Drosophila melanogaster: one gene and its partner. The protein of the gene in region 1 interacts with the protein of each later gene in a pairwise test. Each region holds a gene or a part of one and is shown in the gene's direction. Other genes may lie near its edges.

Region 1 (7,689 bases):
GTGCCGATGGCAGGGTAAATGCCCCGAAATGCAGCACATAGTAGTAGACCAAACTGCGCCAGACCACGGGATCCTCGAGCTGAGTGGACAGCACGGGACCCACTACCAAACGGATGGTTCCTCCATTCCGGTAGATCAACTGATGCCTCTTCTGGCGCGCATGCATATACTCCGTAATATTTTGGCCAACTGGAGCAGCTACTAACATATACGCACTCCTAACCACAGGTAATGAACAGGCCAATAAATATATCCAAGAAACCAGTTGCATTGTGTGGAAAAACGTCTGTAGGTGGCACAATAACTTTCGAGAATGAAACTCACTGGAATCGATACCCATTTGTGATGCTGAAAATTAAAGCATTATGGACTCAAGCAATTAGCATCCAAATTGGGTTATAAAGACATCCAGATCTGCTTTACATTTTCGTTCTGCATAATTAATTGGGTAAATAATTACAGATACATTTCTACATATCTTAAAAACACAATTCAAAAATTCTTTCTTAATTTGAACTTCTATTAACATAAGGAATTTATTGTCATGTGTATTTATTTAATATTATGTCGTCATAGCACATTGATTTATAGTTTAGTATTTATATTTTACATATACAAAACAAGAATAAAATGTATATTCCCGCAAAATTTAAAATATCGCTTAAGAAATCCCTGCAATGTTTTCTATGTTCTTACCGCCATTTCTGGTATTTCAGTGAATGTACGCAACTGGTCACTCTAGTATTATTAACTAACAAAATAAACAATAACATAACCAAGGATATAAAGGAAACTGTAGAGCAGCGATGAACGCCGTGATAGCGCTGTGCCACTTTTGCGAGGCGCACGGTCCCTGCGCCATCTTCTGCACCCAGACACTGAGGGACACCAAGCTGGAGGACCTGTCACTGGAACAGCAGACGCAAAAGACCTGCTCCGCCTGCAATTACTCCATGGGCAAGAATAACAATGCGATCTACAGCAGGGACACGGAAAGCGGGGCCACATTCGTCAGCACCAAGGTGGCGGTGCTGCCGGAGGTGGCCAGTCTGGTCAAGCAGGCGGCGGTGCTCAGTCTGAGCAATGGTACGGATGCCAGCAAGGATGGCGAGTTCGTGTTCTTTGGCGATTCGTCCAGGGGTCACATCCTGAGTCACACCTTCCGAGTGAGCGACCTGCAGGCCCGCGGCTACTCGCAGCTGTTCTCCATCATTGTGCTGATGAAGGACAAGTATTTCCTGCTTAACATCAAGCCCTTTCTGGCGGAGCACCTGAAGAAGGTGTCGTCGGAGCTGCAGGCAGCTGCCAAAAAGACCAAGGAGACGGAGGAGCAGACGTACTCAGAGCGACAGAGGCGTCTGTCCGGCGCTCAGTTCCTGATGCCCACTTCCCGTGCCTTGCTGGAGCTAACAGGCGAGGAGCACATCTTCGCCCAGTTGCACTCACACTTCTCGTGGCTCCTGCTAGCCGGATCCCGCTTCCTCACCGAGCACGTGACCTTCGGCAACCTACCGTGGCTACCGCCACAAAGTAGTGGCCGTCCTCCCGCACAGCGACTCACCTACAACAGTTCCACACTGCCAATGATAGAGAGCATCGACGATCCCGATCTGGAGGAGTTCTTCTCGTTGCGCCATCTCAAGAGTGTCGTCCGCAAGGAGGAGTTTGCCACGGTCTGCTATTGTGCCTTGACTGGGGTGAAGATTGTGGTCAGAGGTGATCCCAGAAAGACCTTCCGTTTCATGGTCTGCCTGAAGAAACTCCTGCCCGAGCCCATGCACAATCTAATGCGAATCGATGCCCAACATCAACACTCCATCAGCTCCGAGTACAAAATCATATCCGTGTCCAATGACATAGCCGTGCCAATGGCCAGTAGCTCCGTTTATCGGATCGATTTTCTGGACAAACACGTCAACGGACACGAGGTGTCGGTCAAATGGCCAGGAGAGCTGCCACGAAAATGTAAGCTTCACATCCAATCCGTTCCCGCTTTCACTGATAAAAACGAGTCGGGGATATTGATATTGATTCTATTGATTCTCCCACTTTAGTGCCAGATCTTATGGTGAAACTTTTAAAGGCGGTGGAGGAGAAAAACTTCACAGAACTCGTGCTGAACAAGCAGACCAAGGTGCTCATCGAAGAGTGGAAAAAGTGAGTAGCCGTCCTATTTTGCTGCACAGATCCGAACTCAATTGAATTCCATCTACAGCAAAGTGACCTGCCTCAACCATGCCAAATCCACCAGCGTGCAGGGCAAACTTAAGAAGGTGCTTGGCGTGCAGCCGCACGATCAGCCGATTATTAACTACTGGAGCACACACCTTCACTAGTACAACCGATTACCGCACAGATTAAGGACTTTCTTTTTCACCTTTTGGAATAAAACTCTTTTATTGCCGTGCGATGGCGAGAAAAATCATTATCTTAACCAAAAGGATGCCGAATCCAGTCCAGTCAGCCAGTCGCTTACTTCTTGTAGCCGCAGCTGGAGCGACGACCACGAGCACGCTCGAACTTGCGTCCCTTAGAGCGGACATAGGGGCGGGTGTGCGAGTGGGGCACACCGGGAGCCTTGCCGAAGTGCTTGCAGGCGGTGCGGGCGGTACGCCTGCCCTGCAGCAGCAGCGTGTTCTTGCCGGTGGGCGATCGGAGAGCCAGTTGATCGAAGGTCAGGACCTCACCGCCGGCCTTCAGGATGCGCTCCCTGGCGGTCTGCGTGACGTGCAGGGCGCACACGGTGAGCTTGGGCACCACCAGGAGGCGGGCATCGTCGGTGACGGTGCCGACGACCACGATGGTAGACTCCGGCTGGTTGGCGGCCTTGAAGAAGCGAGCGATGCGCTGAAGCGATAGCGGCGGCCTGTTGATCTTGCTCATGAACAAACGCTTCAGGATGATGCGGTTGAACTTCTTGTTGGTGCGGCGCTGAAGGAAGCGGTACAGCTGCGGGGGCAAACAAAGAAAAAAAAACAGATTAATCTCCACATTCAGCTGGTAGTCAACGCCATCGAAAGCCTCACCTTGACCAGCAGGCGCAGGTACACATCCTGGGATTTGGGCTCGGTTCTGCGAACCTTGCGATCGTACTTGTGGTTGATATCAATACCCTGCAAACGAAACACACGTATTAGAACTGGTGTTTATGATCGGAAAAACAATTGGTCGGCATTCGAGCGTATGTTTACTACATATCCATGGAACCGATCAGTTAAACTGCTTATTTCATGGTATTTTAGCTTCACAAACTAGATGCCGCCCACACAAATTTGTTTTTATTTCATTCCGTCGCCAGGAAGCTTCGCAATGCACGTGGGCTGAGCCACAGTTGGCGTTTTAGGTTATTTGTCAGTTTCCTGCTGGAATCATTGCCGCACTTTTATCGGTAACCCACCATTTCTTCTGTTGAATGTATTAATCAACGCTAAAATAGAGAATTGGACATTAATTTAAGCTAAAAACGTGGAGCATCAATTTCTTGCACGTACCTCGCCGGAAACGAAAGCCAAAAGAAAGAAAATAGTGTGGCTGCACCGATCACAAGCAAGACGCTAAAATATCCAATTGTGCTGTTATGATAACAGCGTGCTGTTAAGGCGCAAGCTTCATTTATTTTCTAAGCGATATCCTAAGTTTATAAACAAAATTTCTAGCATTAATAATACTGTGGGTAAAACTTCCAAACCTCTAAATCAAATTAAAACAAAATTATATGTGAAAGCTCTTATTTGCTTGATATACAAGTGTGGCAACGCCGCTAATAACATCATTAGTATGACCATAGGATTTTTTTTTAATATTAGGGGGGTACAACAAAATATTAATAGTATCTGATTTTTTACATGGCATTTTTGTAAATTGAATTTCTAATAAGCAAGTTAATGCAAGAAGGTTCGGAAATCAAGCGACCCTTTTTTTTTATTAAAACTGATGCCAATTCTGAATAATAACTATTCAGCGGTGTGTATTTTTGCATTGCCTCGTCGGGTCACACTAGAATCTTCAGTTTCGGGTTTGTGTGCAGTAGAAAGCTTCAAATATCTATGTCTGATCCAGGAAGCGCCGGCTACAACATAACCAAGGATCCGGCCCTGGCAAAGAGTCGAATCTTCTTGGGCAACCTGCCGGTTTGCACGCGCGAGGAGCTGGTGAGCATTTGCCAGCCATATGGCAAAGTGCTCGGTTCGATGGTCCAGAAGAACTACGGATTCGTGCAGTTTGAAACGGAGGAGCTGGCCAATAAAGCCGCCTCCGCCCTGCACAAGTCCACTTTTAAGCAAAACATGCTCACCGTACGCAACGCCAGCATTAAATCGAAGGCGGCCAATGCTATCGCCAAAAGAAATTCAAATCAAGGAGGCCAGGTGACAGTTCAGGGTGGACTTGTGATGTCAGCGGCGGCAGCGGCAGCAGGTCAACCCCTCATCAATGATTGCGAGATCATAGTCCAAAATCGCGAGAATACGTAAGTTATGATCCCCAATACCTTATAACTCCAGACGATACTCATGGCTTTCATTACCTGCAGCAAATACGCAGAATACATTGAGGAGCGGCTAAAGAATTCCAGTCTGCGCGTGGATGTACTCTTTCCCAACGAGGACGTCTTGCTAGGCAAGGTCCTGGCCAACATCTCTTCGCGCGGCTGCTTGTATGCGGTATTGGTCACGCCGCAGCACGAGGAACACAACAGCATCACAGTAAACATTTTGTATGGCGTACCCGCTGAGCATCGCAACATGCCGCTGGAGGACGCCATCACCCTGATCTCCACCGATTTTAGGCTCAAAAAACAGCGCGACGCTGTCGTCTTACCGCCGTCAACATCCATACACAAGGGACAGCGACGACATCCCCAGGAAATGCAGGGGCTGCTGGAAAGGCTGGCAGACAATCATCCATTGACCGCGTCGCAGTACGAGGTGATTCTTAAGTACCTCGAAGGCGAACGCGAGGAGCAACTGAAGCGAGAGGTGGGCGAGGCCAATGCTCTGGCCAAGCTAAAAGCTCCCGATCCAGAGATCGAGCTGCAGAAGAAGATTCTTAGCATCATGAACAAGCCGGCAGTAACCGATGTCACCAGCGAGCTCATGTATCCCACTTTCGAGGCAGTCAAGGAGGACAGAAGGCTAATGGAGCTACTTGCTGACGATCGAGTGTTGGCGGCCCTGGAAAGTGTTTACAACTCGGATCTCAGACAGATTTTAGCCGAGTATTTATAGACTACCAATACTTAGTAGTATTCATTAATTTTAGCCATTAAGCATATTTAACATTTAATAAATGTAATACCTAATATATATGACGTAAATCTCGGGCTTCCAGAATGCATTTAATAAGTGTAAGACATTAACAACTAACAATTGGCTGTTTCTAAGGCCAGGATCGCTTGGCTTCGTGTCCCTCGTACTTTCCACGGTACTTGAGACCGGTGACTAGGGTGGAGCTCTTGGGGAAAGCCGTTTTGCCGTCGAATTTGGTATCTGTCTCGGGATGGAATCGCACGTACTCGTACTGGATGTGCAAATTCTCCGGCAGCTCGATGCGCTTCAGTGCATCAAACGGCACGGTGGTGTCCACAGCTGTTTGGTAGAAAGCGATAACATCGCTGACGGTGCGCAGTTCATGTACCTGGGAGTTGGGCACTCCGTGCTGCAGCTCCTGGAAGCACGCGTTCAGGAATTCGAATTTCTCGGAGAGATTCCCCAACTGGTCGGATTTCAGTTGAAGCGAGGCGGCTACGGTTCGAATACGTTCGGCGGCATCTGCAGGTGGGGAGTACGGCTTATGGGGACGCAAGAAGCTACAATCAGGAGAATATTTACTTGGTTTTTATGTAAATAAATTAAAGAAAGTGCTTACCCCTTGGCGGCGATGGACTCGCCGACAGCTGAAATGGTGCTGGTTTTGACGGGCTTTGCTTTTGCGGCCTTGGCGGCGGAGGCAAAACTCCTATGCAGGCTTCCCGCAAGCTAAATTCATGGTGGCATTGGATTTTAAGTGAACATTTTTATTATTTTTTACTTACAATTAGGGTTTTACGTAAAATCGCTGCCATTGGATGTGACCAGATTGAAAACAATGCGGCATGGCAGTCAATACTGAAAATATATTCACTATACTTACAGGTAAGGAGATGGTAACACAAAAATACTGCATTGAGCGTTGCCAGGTGGACTCACTGTTTACCCACTGTTAAATTTATAAACAAACTTAAAAAAAATGAAAACATTATGAGTATTGAGTTATTTTTAGTCGAAGATCTATCTCATAATAGTCTTTCTTGAAACAAATTTTAGTTTAAGCAACAATAAGTGATAGGATTTTATTTTAAAAATATATTACCTCATCAATTTCAATTTAAATCTAAATTCGACATAACTTTACGAACGATAACTTTATTAAATTGCGTGGCAGCTCTAAGCTTTTGTCGATAATAAGGTCCTGTTATTCAATTGATAAGTCCTGCTATCGCGCCAACTGTTATTTTTTTATAATTTTGCATTGAATAATAGTTTTAAACTACATTGGTGTTCTTTATGTAGTATAAAACAGTATGGACAGGACAACAGTTGTCCCGAGTCCGGCCTCCACCTACTGCTCCTTTATGGGTGGCTCCCAGCACTCCCCATTGCGGCGATCACAGCGCCTCATCGACAAGGAAAACCGGGATCTGCAGAAGATTCCGCCCAAAAGTCTTTCTCCTCAGTTATTTGGAAACACTGAAGATGATTACAGTGAACTATTGTTGCAGCAAGGGAAAGTGGTTCACCTGAAGCCTGCAGCTAAGTTGGTGCCCGTGAGATCCTCGGATAATCTAGTCCATCTTGGATCCCGGGATAAAGTTGTCCCCTTGAAAACTTCCAATAGAATCGTTCACCTGAAGCCTCCATATAAGATTATCCACCTCAAAAGTTTAGATGAAGTTGAAAAGACCGTAAAGAAGAAGAATAATATTCAGAAAGAAGTTCATCAAAGGAATTCACAAAGGAGAAGCATTCAATGCACTCCCAAAAAACGTGGTCGAAAACCAAAGCAACCGGCTAAGAAACTGCAGTCAAGAATTTCCACCGATCAGCTAGGAAGCACACCATCGCCATCCAAGCTGCCTGCCAAATATCCCGCCCATTTTGTTCATCAACTTCCGCCCGCTGAGGATTCCAGCTGTGCCACTCGAAGACGATCCTTATCTGCTCCAGCTATGCAACTTAGCGATCTAAGCCTCACACCCGATGAGATCCAAACTCCGGAGCGGCGCGGTGAAATCGTAAACAAATCGCCATCGGATCTCGACTCCGATGTCTCCTTGAACTTCTCGCTGTCCGATTCCATTGGCGAGATCTTCGGCACCAAGGACATCAGCAGCATTCTGACCATGCAGCGGCCGCGTCAGTACATTTTGCTGGAGGAGCATCTGCCCACACTGGCCACCATGTTGAACGTTGACTTGGAGCGACTGCGCTGCGTGCTGGATATCACTCAGGGCTTGAGCCACGAGCAAATCCTGCGCTTTCCGATAAAACATGAAGAGGATGAATTGGAAGTACCTTAGATATGATGGGGAACTTATAGCAGTAGTATAATGTTTTCACTTTGAATAGTTTTAATGTCCAAGTCCAACATATTTAATTCCCATAAGATCCTTGTTGCTTTAACTTAACATTTAAAATGTATATCTCCCTTTTT
Region 2 (9,038 bases), on another chromosome or scaffold:
CAGCGTTAATTATGGCATCCCCGACATACGGGGCGTATGCGTAATGCAAATGAAATTCTAATCAATTGCCTGGTAAAAATTAGCATAATGGCCATGGCGTCGGCTTAGGTAGAGCAAGTCTAACACACATTATCAATCACTAATCGATGAAATCGATAAGGTTAAAAGTAAACACGCAAAAGGGGGGCAGCAGAGCCTCATTTTCGCAACGGTTTTCTGTCTAATTAGGCAATGCGTTGTCTCTCCTCCGTGTTTAGTTACCAATTCACCGGGCTTCCAGCTGATTGATTTCACCTCATATATTGCGCTTTTGACTGCAGTTTTGGATCCGCAACCCGAACCCCTTCTTTTTTCCCTCTGGGTTGGTGCCCCTCAATCATTTTTATTTCATGATTTATTCATCTAGACTCTCGAAATGCTTTTCGCTCAGTTGGATCTGCGGCAGCCGCAACATTTTAATGGCATTTTTAGCCACCAAAGTGCGCAAATGGTTATATCCTTATCTGCCGTCTTGGGACCCGGAACAGTTGCCAATTTTTATTTTTATTTTTCCGTGCTGTAACGTCGCGTTTTCCGGGACATATAAAAAGTTGCCCATCTTTAATTGTAATTGCAATTTTATGTTGCCCTTTTTTTTACGTTTTGTCTAAGAGACCTTCTCAATTTGCCTCAGGTGTTTAAACGATACATAATATGTACTACACGTTGAACTGAAAGGTTGATATTAAAATAAAAATACTTTTTGTTTATGGTACACCATTCTATTGAACCTAGTCCTGCCCATTTGCACTTCTTTAGCCTAGCCTCCCACCCATCAAGTTGTCCCTGAGTTTTCCTTCAGTTTTCATTCCTCGAGGAACTACTGAGTAATGTTCTAAGACAATGGAACGTTGGTTATGAAATACTGTAAAAATTGTAACTGCTCAAATGTTAAAGCGCAACTCACTCAAAATTGAGCCAACCTTACACCAACAGGCAACTGGTAAAAGTAACCCAAAGACCTATATTAAGCATTGGAAAGCTTTTTTAAAGCTTAAGGCAGGGATATTTAAGCTTCGAATAAATATCCCTTTTCAGAGACAAACAGTTTGTTGTTTTATTTCACTTAATCAAACAAATGTTACTTTGATTTTTGTGCATCGTTATACAGTAAGTTAGCTTAATGTGCATTAAATATATACATACACACTGGTATATACACGGATATATATAACTTAAAGCTTGCAATAATTAGGCTAACTGATTCTAAATCGTTTCGGGTTATCCTAAAATGAGAGGCTAATGGCTCTCAGAAGCGCTCAAGTTTAAATCAGTTCAGATCGGAATCGTCCACGCGAACTGGCTTGCGTGACAGATATAGAACAATGATGGTGGTCAATGCGCTGACCAGGAATATTACGTCAAACCAACGATGGTAGAAGTTGAAGTGCAGATTTCCTAGAACCTCGGTGATGATCACACGATACTCGGCTGGCATGTTCATGCGCATCAGCAATACTGAGGAACAGAAGTACATGCCCATGATCTGGCCCAAAATAAGTACTATGATGTTGCTCGACTTGCTCGATGAAATGCGATAAAAGAACTACAAAAATATATTATAGCATAAGTTAAACATAAGAAATTGTGGCACTTACTTTTGTCAGCGTTAGCAACAAACCTCTAATCGAGGTGATCACAATGCAGCCGACGAGCAGAAATGATATATGCTGATTCCAGAACGCAAAGTCAATGTTAAAGCCGCACCAGTGTATGGCAATTTCAAGGCCTCGTGTGACTGGATCCTTGCGACCGACTCTATCGAAGATAATGTTGATGCAACACTGTTAAATAAACGTATTTTTAATCGAAACTATAAAGTTGTTTAATTATAGACCTACCATAAATATCTTATAAACACAATAAACACTAAAAAAATGTCCTAGTACATTGAAGTACTTTCCCTTCAATGTTTGAGACCATCTTTGGCGTTCTTCCATGTTTTTCAATGAACTAAGTTCTAAGAAAACAGAGCGTAATAGCTCCTCCAAGCCATACACTTCCTGTTTTAATTGATTGATGTCTGAAGAAATTAAGGGAAAAAATTAGGCATATAGATCACAGAATATCATCTATAACAACCTTCGCCACTGTTCGTGTTGCGCTGGACCGCAGAAGCAAGCATATCCCAAATTCTGGGTTTGGAAGGATTCAGTTTGTTGTGATTATAGATGGCCATGGCAATCTTCCGCTTTTTGGCCGACAGCATTTCTACTGTCAAAGCCAAACGCCTTTCAAAACAGATGATATCATTCCGAGACACTGGCCTGCCAAACAATAGAAAAAAAAGAAAAGTTAAACAGAGATAAGATGGAATTTAAGGCAACGCATTACTTGATGAAATAGGACATACTGGTGTACGGATAATTGACGGCACCAAAGCCAGAAAGTATGGCCATTACAGTGACCCCAATCACACTAATCCGGGAAACGCCCTGTTCGATCGTAAAGATTCCGTGGGAAGCGCTCAGCAAAGGAAAGGGGTCACCAATCCGCCAAAGCCCATATATAAAGATGAACCAACAGAATGTGGTCAGAATTCGGACCCATTTATCGGAAACTGAAAAGAAAATAAAAAGTTATTTGCGGTAAAATTTAGGATGCACTGAGATGGACTTACAGAAAGAAATGCTGTGTATCACGGAGTAGCAAATGTAAATGGGTATCACAGCCGTCGTCATAAAGAGTAGTAACGTGAGACCCAGTCGCCAATGGAAGTACCTTGAACTGGACTCCAGAACATCGATGATTTCGAATATGATCAACTCGAACATGGTTATGGATAAGGCAAATGTGGATGAAAAAATCAACTGAACGGATATATGTCGTATCTCATAGTGCTTGAAGAGTTCTTTGTTGAAAAACAGCCAGCCGCCGGCGAAGAATATCATCTGAAATATATTTCAATAAAGTTATTCTACTTAACATGTCCAAATTGAGACTTCCACTTGCCTGCGACACGAACACAATAACACAGTCGCCCAGGAAGGCCATTTTAATGCCTTGTCTGCCTTCAGATCGGATATGTCAATTACTTTCCAGATTGTCTTGTTACTGGCATTGCTTAGTTAAGCTAATTAACTTTAAAAAGAATTGTTCTGGGAACTGAAAATGCCAACAAGCAAATATAAACAAAAAAGCCGAAAGACAAGCAATCGATAATTCGATAGCACGTCAGGAAGGGATGTTTTCATACTGACAAAATATACCGTTTGGTATTTAATTAATGCGATTGCAGTGGTGTCACTTTAATATTCTTGTTTCTAAATTTAGCTTTGTTTAGGTAATGCACAATAATAATAGCGATTGAAACATTAAAGAAAATTGCCACAATTAGGTAGATAGTTTACTTTTTGAAATTAAGAATTAAATTTTATTTTTTATTTTATTATTATAACGCTTTGCCCATTAAATCACCTCTTGGCTATAGCCATTTATTGGCTTAATGGCCAAATGTCCATCGACCTCTGACAGCACTGCTGGCAATACTGGCTGATTGGACTATGTTTATTAAATGATTACTTGCTGGATGCGGATCCAGATGTTCGACCAAATCTCAGGGAAGCGGAAAGGACTGCGATGGCTTGCTATTACCGCCAGCATGCGGACACCACGGTGACGGTTCCAAAGTTTAGCAACGAGAGTTCCAGCGGCGGAGTGACCTACTACGATATCAAGGTGCGAGTGGGCAAGGTGGAATGGCTGGTGGAGCGCCGTTATCGGGACTTTGCAAATCTTCACGAGAAGCTGGTTGGCGAGATCTCCATCAGTAAGAAGTTGCTGCCGCCGAAGAAGGTACGCCCCCAAACATTTATTACACATACGTATGTAAGTTATGAATAATTTCCTATTTTCAGCTAGTTGGAAACAAGCAGCCCTCCTTTTTGGAGCAACGTCGTGAACAGTTGGAAATTTATCTTCAGGAGCTTCTCATCTACTTCCGTACAGAACTGCCGCGAGCTCTGGCCGAGTTTCTGGACTTTAACAAGTACGACATTATTTATCTGCTACAAGATCTTGCCAAGCTGTTCAATGAAAGCGGTGATGCTCTGCTCAGCTCCAAGAAGGAATACAACCTTTCAGCCCTAGAGGTAAGATATAATTATATGTAAGTGTTTCCTTTGCGTTTTTTGTTAAGTTCGAATATACAGAAAAAATGTCAAAATTATTAGTATTCAACTTTATCCAAACCATCCCTTTGCAGCTTAGAAATAACTTTAAAAGCAAAGTTAAAGCTAGACCCATTAGTTACTCCCTGGGTACCCTCCACAAGCATCACACAAATTTTTCTACAGAGCTGGAAAATACCATAAATTCTGAGAGCAATTTTAAGAATATCAGTAACCTTATAAAGTTTGTTCGACAACATAGTAAGTGGTACCGAGATAATGACTGTATTAATCGACATTATTTTAACTACATATTACTGGATCCTCGAGTAACAAATAATCTAAAAGAACGGGCCAGTCAACTTCACTTAATGGATGTTTGGTATACCTTTCTAAGAGCAATATTTTATGTAGGCAAAGGCAAGGCCACCCGCCCCTACGTTCATTTAAAAAACGCCCAGAAACTGGTAGATGAAACCAACAACATCACATTAGTAAAAGATCCCAAATTGGCGTTAATTGTGTCCATATGGAAGGCAAATCGTGGAGTCTTACTAATACGCGCTTTTCAGGGAATCTCGTCACAAGATGCGCAAACTCGTGAGGCATCTATCATTGATGCTCTCGGCATGAATCACTTGACTAACCGACGATTGGGTTTTTACTATGGTCGAGCTCGAAGTTTATCGGATAAGGAGAGAAAATATCTGGGGATAGCTTTACTTTACAAATTGATGATGAAGTTTCTAGCAAAAGAAGAAAAAGAACTATTTCCTTTAAAGAACACCAAGGCTGCAATGGCAGCTTAAATCAATATAAAATATACTTATACTACTTATTCTAAGATTGTTTTTTATTTTTTCCCCTTTCTACTAGGTCTACGCTATTAGTGAGCGGCTTAGTCTTCCCTGCCCACCGAGCCTGGATCGCGGTGGAAAGTACGACTTCTCGCACGTGCTGGACTTTTGCACACAACTTGTCGCTTTGGTGGTCACCCCGGTCAAGGACAATGCTAGCTATGCCCAGGATTACAATACGGTTGATGTGCCAATCGATCGCAGCAATATTATTCCGAACAGACTAAGTTTTAATCTAAATGCCTTTCGCAATCTCAAGACGCTCAAATTTTCGGCCTTGTCTACCGAAAACATTGTGGACATCGAACTTCTGAAGCCGACTCTCCAGACAATCTGTGTTCATAACACAACCATACAGAACATAAATCAAGTCCTGCTCTGCGACAATCTGCACAAGCACTGCGATGTGCCAAGCCTGCTGCCAGAGACTATCCTTGCATCCCCCTCCGGTTCCGGTCCCTCCACTTCTAATGGTAGTGCCTTGGTCAGTGCGGATGCGTGGCAAGAGATAACAGAACTCGACCTGACAGGCAATTTGCTAACCCAAATCGATGGCAGTGTACGAACAGCTCCAAAACTCAGACGCCTAATCCTTGACCAGAATCGAATACGGACCGTCCAAAATCTGGCCGAACTTCCTCAACTCCAATTGCTTTCGCTATCTGGGAATCTTATAGCAGAGTGTGTGGACTGGCATTTGACGATGGGAAACCTAGTCACTCTGAAGCTAGCTCAGAACAAAATCAAGACACTAAGTGGTCTGCGAAAACTACTTTCACTGGTTAACCTGGACCTTAGTTCCAATCAGATCGAGGAGCTTGATGAAGTTAATCATGTCGCCAATCTTCCGCTTCTAGAGACCCTTCGACTTACTGGAAATCCGCTGGCGGGCAGTGTGGGTGAGTTTTGAAAATGATTATAATTTCAGTTTTGTATACTACATTTTACGAATGTGCAGACTATCGCTCTCGCGTCCTTGCTCGATTTCACGAACGTGCTGCTGAAATATCTTTGGACAACGAACCTGGTAATCAGCAGGAGCTAGATACTGCTTTGGTATTGTCCGCCCTTCTGCAATCAAAGCAACGTCAGCAACAAAAGTGATCCTTCTTTATCGATTCCATATATAGACAAATCTGCGAACGAAATTTTAAATCTTATCTTCTTTTATAAGTATTGCCTATTGATATTTCTTGCAACTAAACCCTATTAACAAATATTATTTTCCTAAGGTTGTGGACTTTAAACGGTTTAAAGATTTCTTTCAAGGATATTTCCCACGTTAGAAGTAATTTTAATTTATTCAAAGTGATTTGTAAATTTCCATGTTTGTAAAATTCCCCGTATTCAGCCAAACTCTAAATGTATATGTTTTATCATTTCTGTCCCCCTTGATGTGCAATAATTCAATGCTCACTTCCAAACAAATAAGTTAAGTAAATCAAATAAATTATATATCTCGACAAAAAAAGGTTCGTAATTAATTATGAAATTGTATAACATAGTTCAGAAGGAAGCATTGCAACAATTTTCCTAGCTTTTGATCATTGATAGGACCAATCAGTCTTGATTATGTACAATTATTTCAATTATTGCCTAACTTATAAGTCAGATGCAAGGATTTCAAGAAGCCAATGCACAGTTAACCACCATGTACAACGTTCTGGTATTGTTCCTATTGCTTTTCACTCGTGCCCAGATGGAACCCCATAGAAGAGGTCATAACATGACTTTGCTGAGATCGGTGCTGACAGTCATCCGCGGCAGGGAGAATTGGAAAAATACCCCCATCTTCTTAGGCGGACATTGTAATTCGGATGACCTGAATAACTTGATGAGTTGGCTTCAAAATACGATGGAAGTAACTTGTCATACAGTGGATACATCTACTTCAGCCAAAAACGAAAACGCTCTGGGTCACTTTAACATAAATGCAGATAATTCGCTTGGTTTGTTGTTTTGCCAAAGCTCCCATGAATTGATTTGGTTTAATATGGATAAGAGACTTCGACGATTACGTGGTATTCGCCTTATTGTGATTCTATCAGACAAACGAAGTTCATCCAGCAAAGCTATAATGAGCACGTTTAAGAGACTGTGGCACTTTCAGTTCCAAAAATTTCCAAGGCTATGTGGTGTCTACCCCAGTGGAAAACGACATTCCGCGAGTGTTTTTCGTGAAGGACAAGAAAACCGGACGCAAGCAGATCAGAGGATTTGGATATCGCACATTTGTGGAGTACCTGCATCGCTACAATGCCTCTTTACATGTCAGTAATTCTCAGCAGGAGCATGCCATCAACAGCAGCGTGAATATGGGTCGGATAATTAATCAGATTGTGGATGGCCAATTAGAAATCTCCCTGCATCCGTATGTAGACGTTCCGGAAAATATGGGAGATAACAGTTATCCCCTTCTAATAGCTAGCAATTGTCTTATTGTTCCGGTCAGGAACGAGATATCTCGCTACATGTATCTACTATTGCCTCTCAACCAATCAAGCTGGATACTACTGCTCGGTTCTGTAATTTATATCAGCGGAGTGCTCTACTACATTCAGCCTGGTCTGCTGCACCGCACCTGGGATCAGCGGATTGGCCTCAACATCCTAGATAGCATCAGCCGAATAATTAATATATGCTCTCCCTCCAGGATTTACAACCCATCCCTGAGGTATTTTATAGTTTCGGTGCACCTTAGTATTCTGGGCTTTGTGGTGACCAACCTCTACAGCATTATGTTGGGCAGCTTCTTCACCACCTTGGTAGTGGGCGAGCAGGTGGACAGCATGCAGCAGCTCATCCAGTAACAGCAAAAGGTACTTGTAAAATATTACGAAGTCAGTACATTCTTACGGCATGTGGAACCAGATTTGGTGGACGGAGTAGCGCAACTATTAGTGGGCGTGAATGCCAGTGAGCAGGTGTCCGCTCTTCTGGGATTCAATCGGAGCTATGCCTACCCCTTCACCCTGGAGAGATGGGAGTTCTTCTCACTACAACAGCAATACGCCTTCAAGCCAATCTTCAGATTCTCATCGGCATGCCTGGGCTCCCCGATTATAGGCTATCCCATGAAAAGTGACTGCCACCTGCAGTCGTCATTGAACATGTTCATCATGCGGATCCAGGCCGCAGGACTTCTGCGGCACTGGGTAGTATCCGATTTTAACGATGCAATGCGCGCTGGCTATGTTCGACTTCTGGAAAACTTCCTAGGATTTCACTCGTTAGATGTCGATTCCTTGCGCCTGCGGTGGGCAGTACTCCTATGTGGGTGGCTGCTATCCACCTTGATTTTTCTTTGCGAGCGCTGGCGCTTTTACCACTAATTCACATAATTAGCGTTGTAATAACCTTATTACAATAATGGTTACCTTACCTGTCAATAAAATATTTTGTGCCCTCCCACTTTACCATAATTTGAATTCATGCCAATTAAACGAAATTGCGTAGACCACATGTGTGCGTGGTATTCAAGAATTCACAAACTTTTCAATACAAAACAAATAAAAGTCGTAATTAAGGATATGAAGGTATATTTTAAACTTACAAATTGTTTGTCATTTACAATTTAAATTGTTTGTCATTTACAATTAATAAGGTTCCAATATTCAAATGAATTGAAAGATATTTTAGATGTAAAGATAAAGATCCCATTGCAGAGGATTGATTACGCCTTTCAAAACGGATCTTTTGAAAATCCCAACTCACATCCAGCATTCAAATCCCTTGTGCAACTGAGATTTCATTTATGATGTTTCATTAATTTTAAAAGGGGCCAATATACAATTCATAAATAGGTGCTATACAATTTATTTGCCTTCGTATTGGTGATACGGAATTCGGGATATGGCCAATGTGCGATGAATATGAATGAACTTTAACTAATAGTTCTGCCAGTGAAGGGTATAGTCGCGTGATTTGAGCTTTCCGTGGGGCTTGTATCATTGCGGATGGTGATGGTGCTGGGCGTGATAGTGCTGCTGCTCGGCGGCAGCGACTGCATCGAACATGGGCGTGTGCACCTCGC

Evidence for each region.
Region 2: the proteins of Neos (region 1) and CG11807 interact in a two-hybrid assay, tested with the Drosophila melanogaster proteins (one large-scale study listed by BioGRID).

Annotation. Positions count from the first base shown.
Region 1 is NT_037436.4:7,237,829-7,245,517, forward strand, and holds Neos (neosin), read left to right. Parts: upstream 1-3,799; 5' UTR 3,800-4,046; coding exon 4,047-4,468; intron 4,469-4,531; coding exon 4,532-5,225; 3' UTR 5,226-5,311; downstream 5,312-7,689. Other genes in the region: CG14829 (uncharacterized protein), read right to left, coding at 1-271; BHD (Birt-Hogg-Dube), read left to right, coding at 807-1,965, 2,055-2,157, 2,216-2,336; RpL18 (ribosomal protein L18), read right to left, coding at 2,473-2,949, 3,027-3,113, 3,398-3,400; mRpL50 (mitochondrial ribosomal protein L50), read right to left, coding at 5,377-5,806, 5,866-5,975, 6,032-6,061; mei-P22 (meiotic P22), read left to right, coding at 6,560-7,555.
Region 2 is NT_033778.4:15,197,998-15,207,035, forward strand, and holds CG11807 (uncharacterized protein), read left to right. Parts: upstream 1-3,255; 5' UTR 3,256-3,322; exon of another isoform or gene 3,323-3,376; intron 3,377-3,469; 5' UTR 3,470-3,618; coding exon 3,619-3,834; intron 3,835-3,896; coding exon 3,897-4,130; intron 4,131-4,195; coding exon of another isoform or gene 4,196-4,957; exon of another isoform or gene 4,958-4,990; intron 4,991-5,024; coding exon 5,025-5,904; intron 5,905-5,963; coding exon 5,964-6,109; 3' UTR 6,110-6,178; exon of another isoform or gene 6,179-6,237; 3' UTR 6,238-6,469; downstream 6,470-9,038. Other genes in the region: GPHR (golgi pH regulator), read right to left, coding at 1,310-1,585, 1,638-1,823, 1,881-2,062, 2,122-2,306, 2,374-2,599, 2,660-2,930, 2,992-3,033; CG42391 (uncharacterized protein), read left to right, coding at 4,196-4,957; row (relative of woc), read right to left, coding at 8,953-9,038.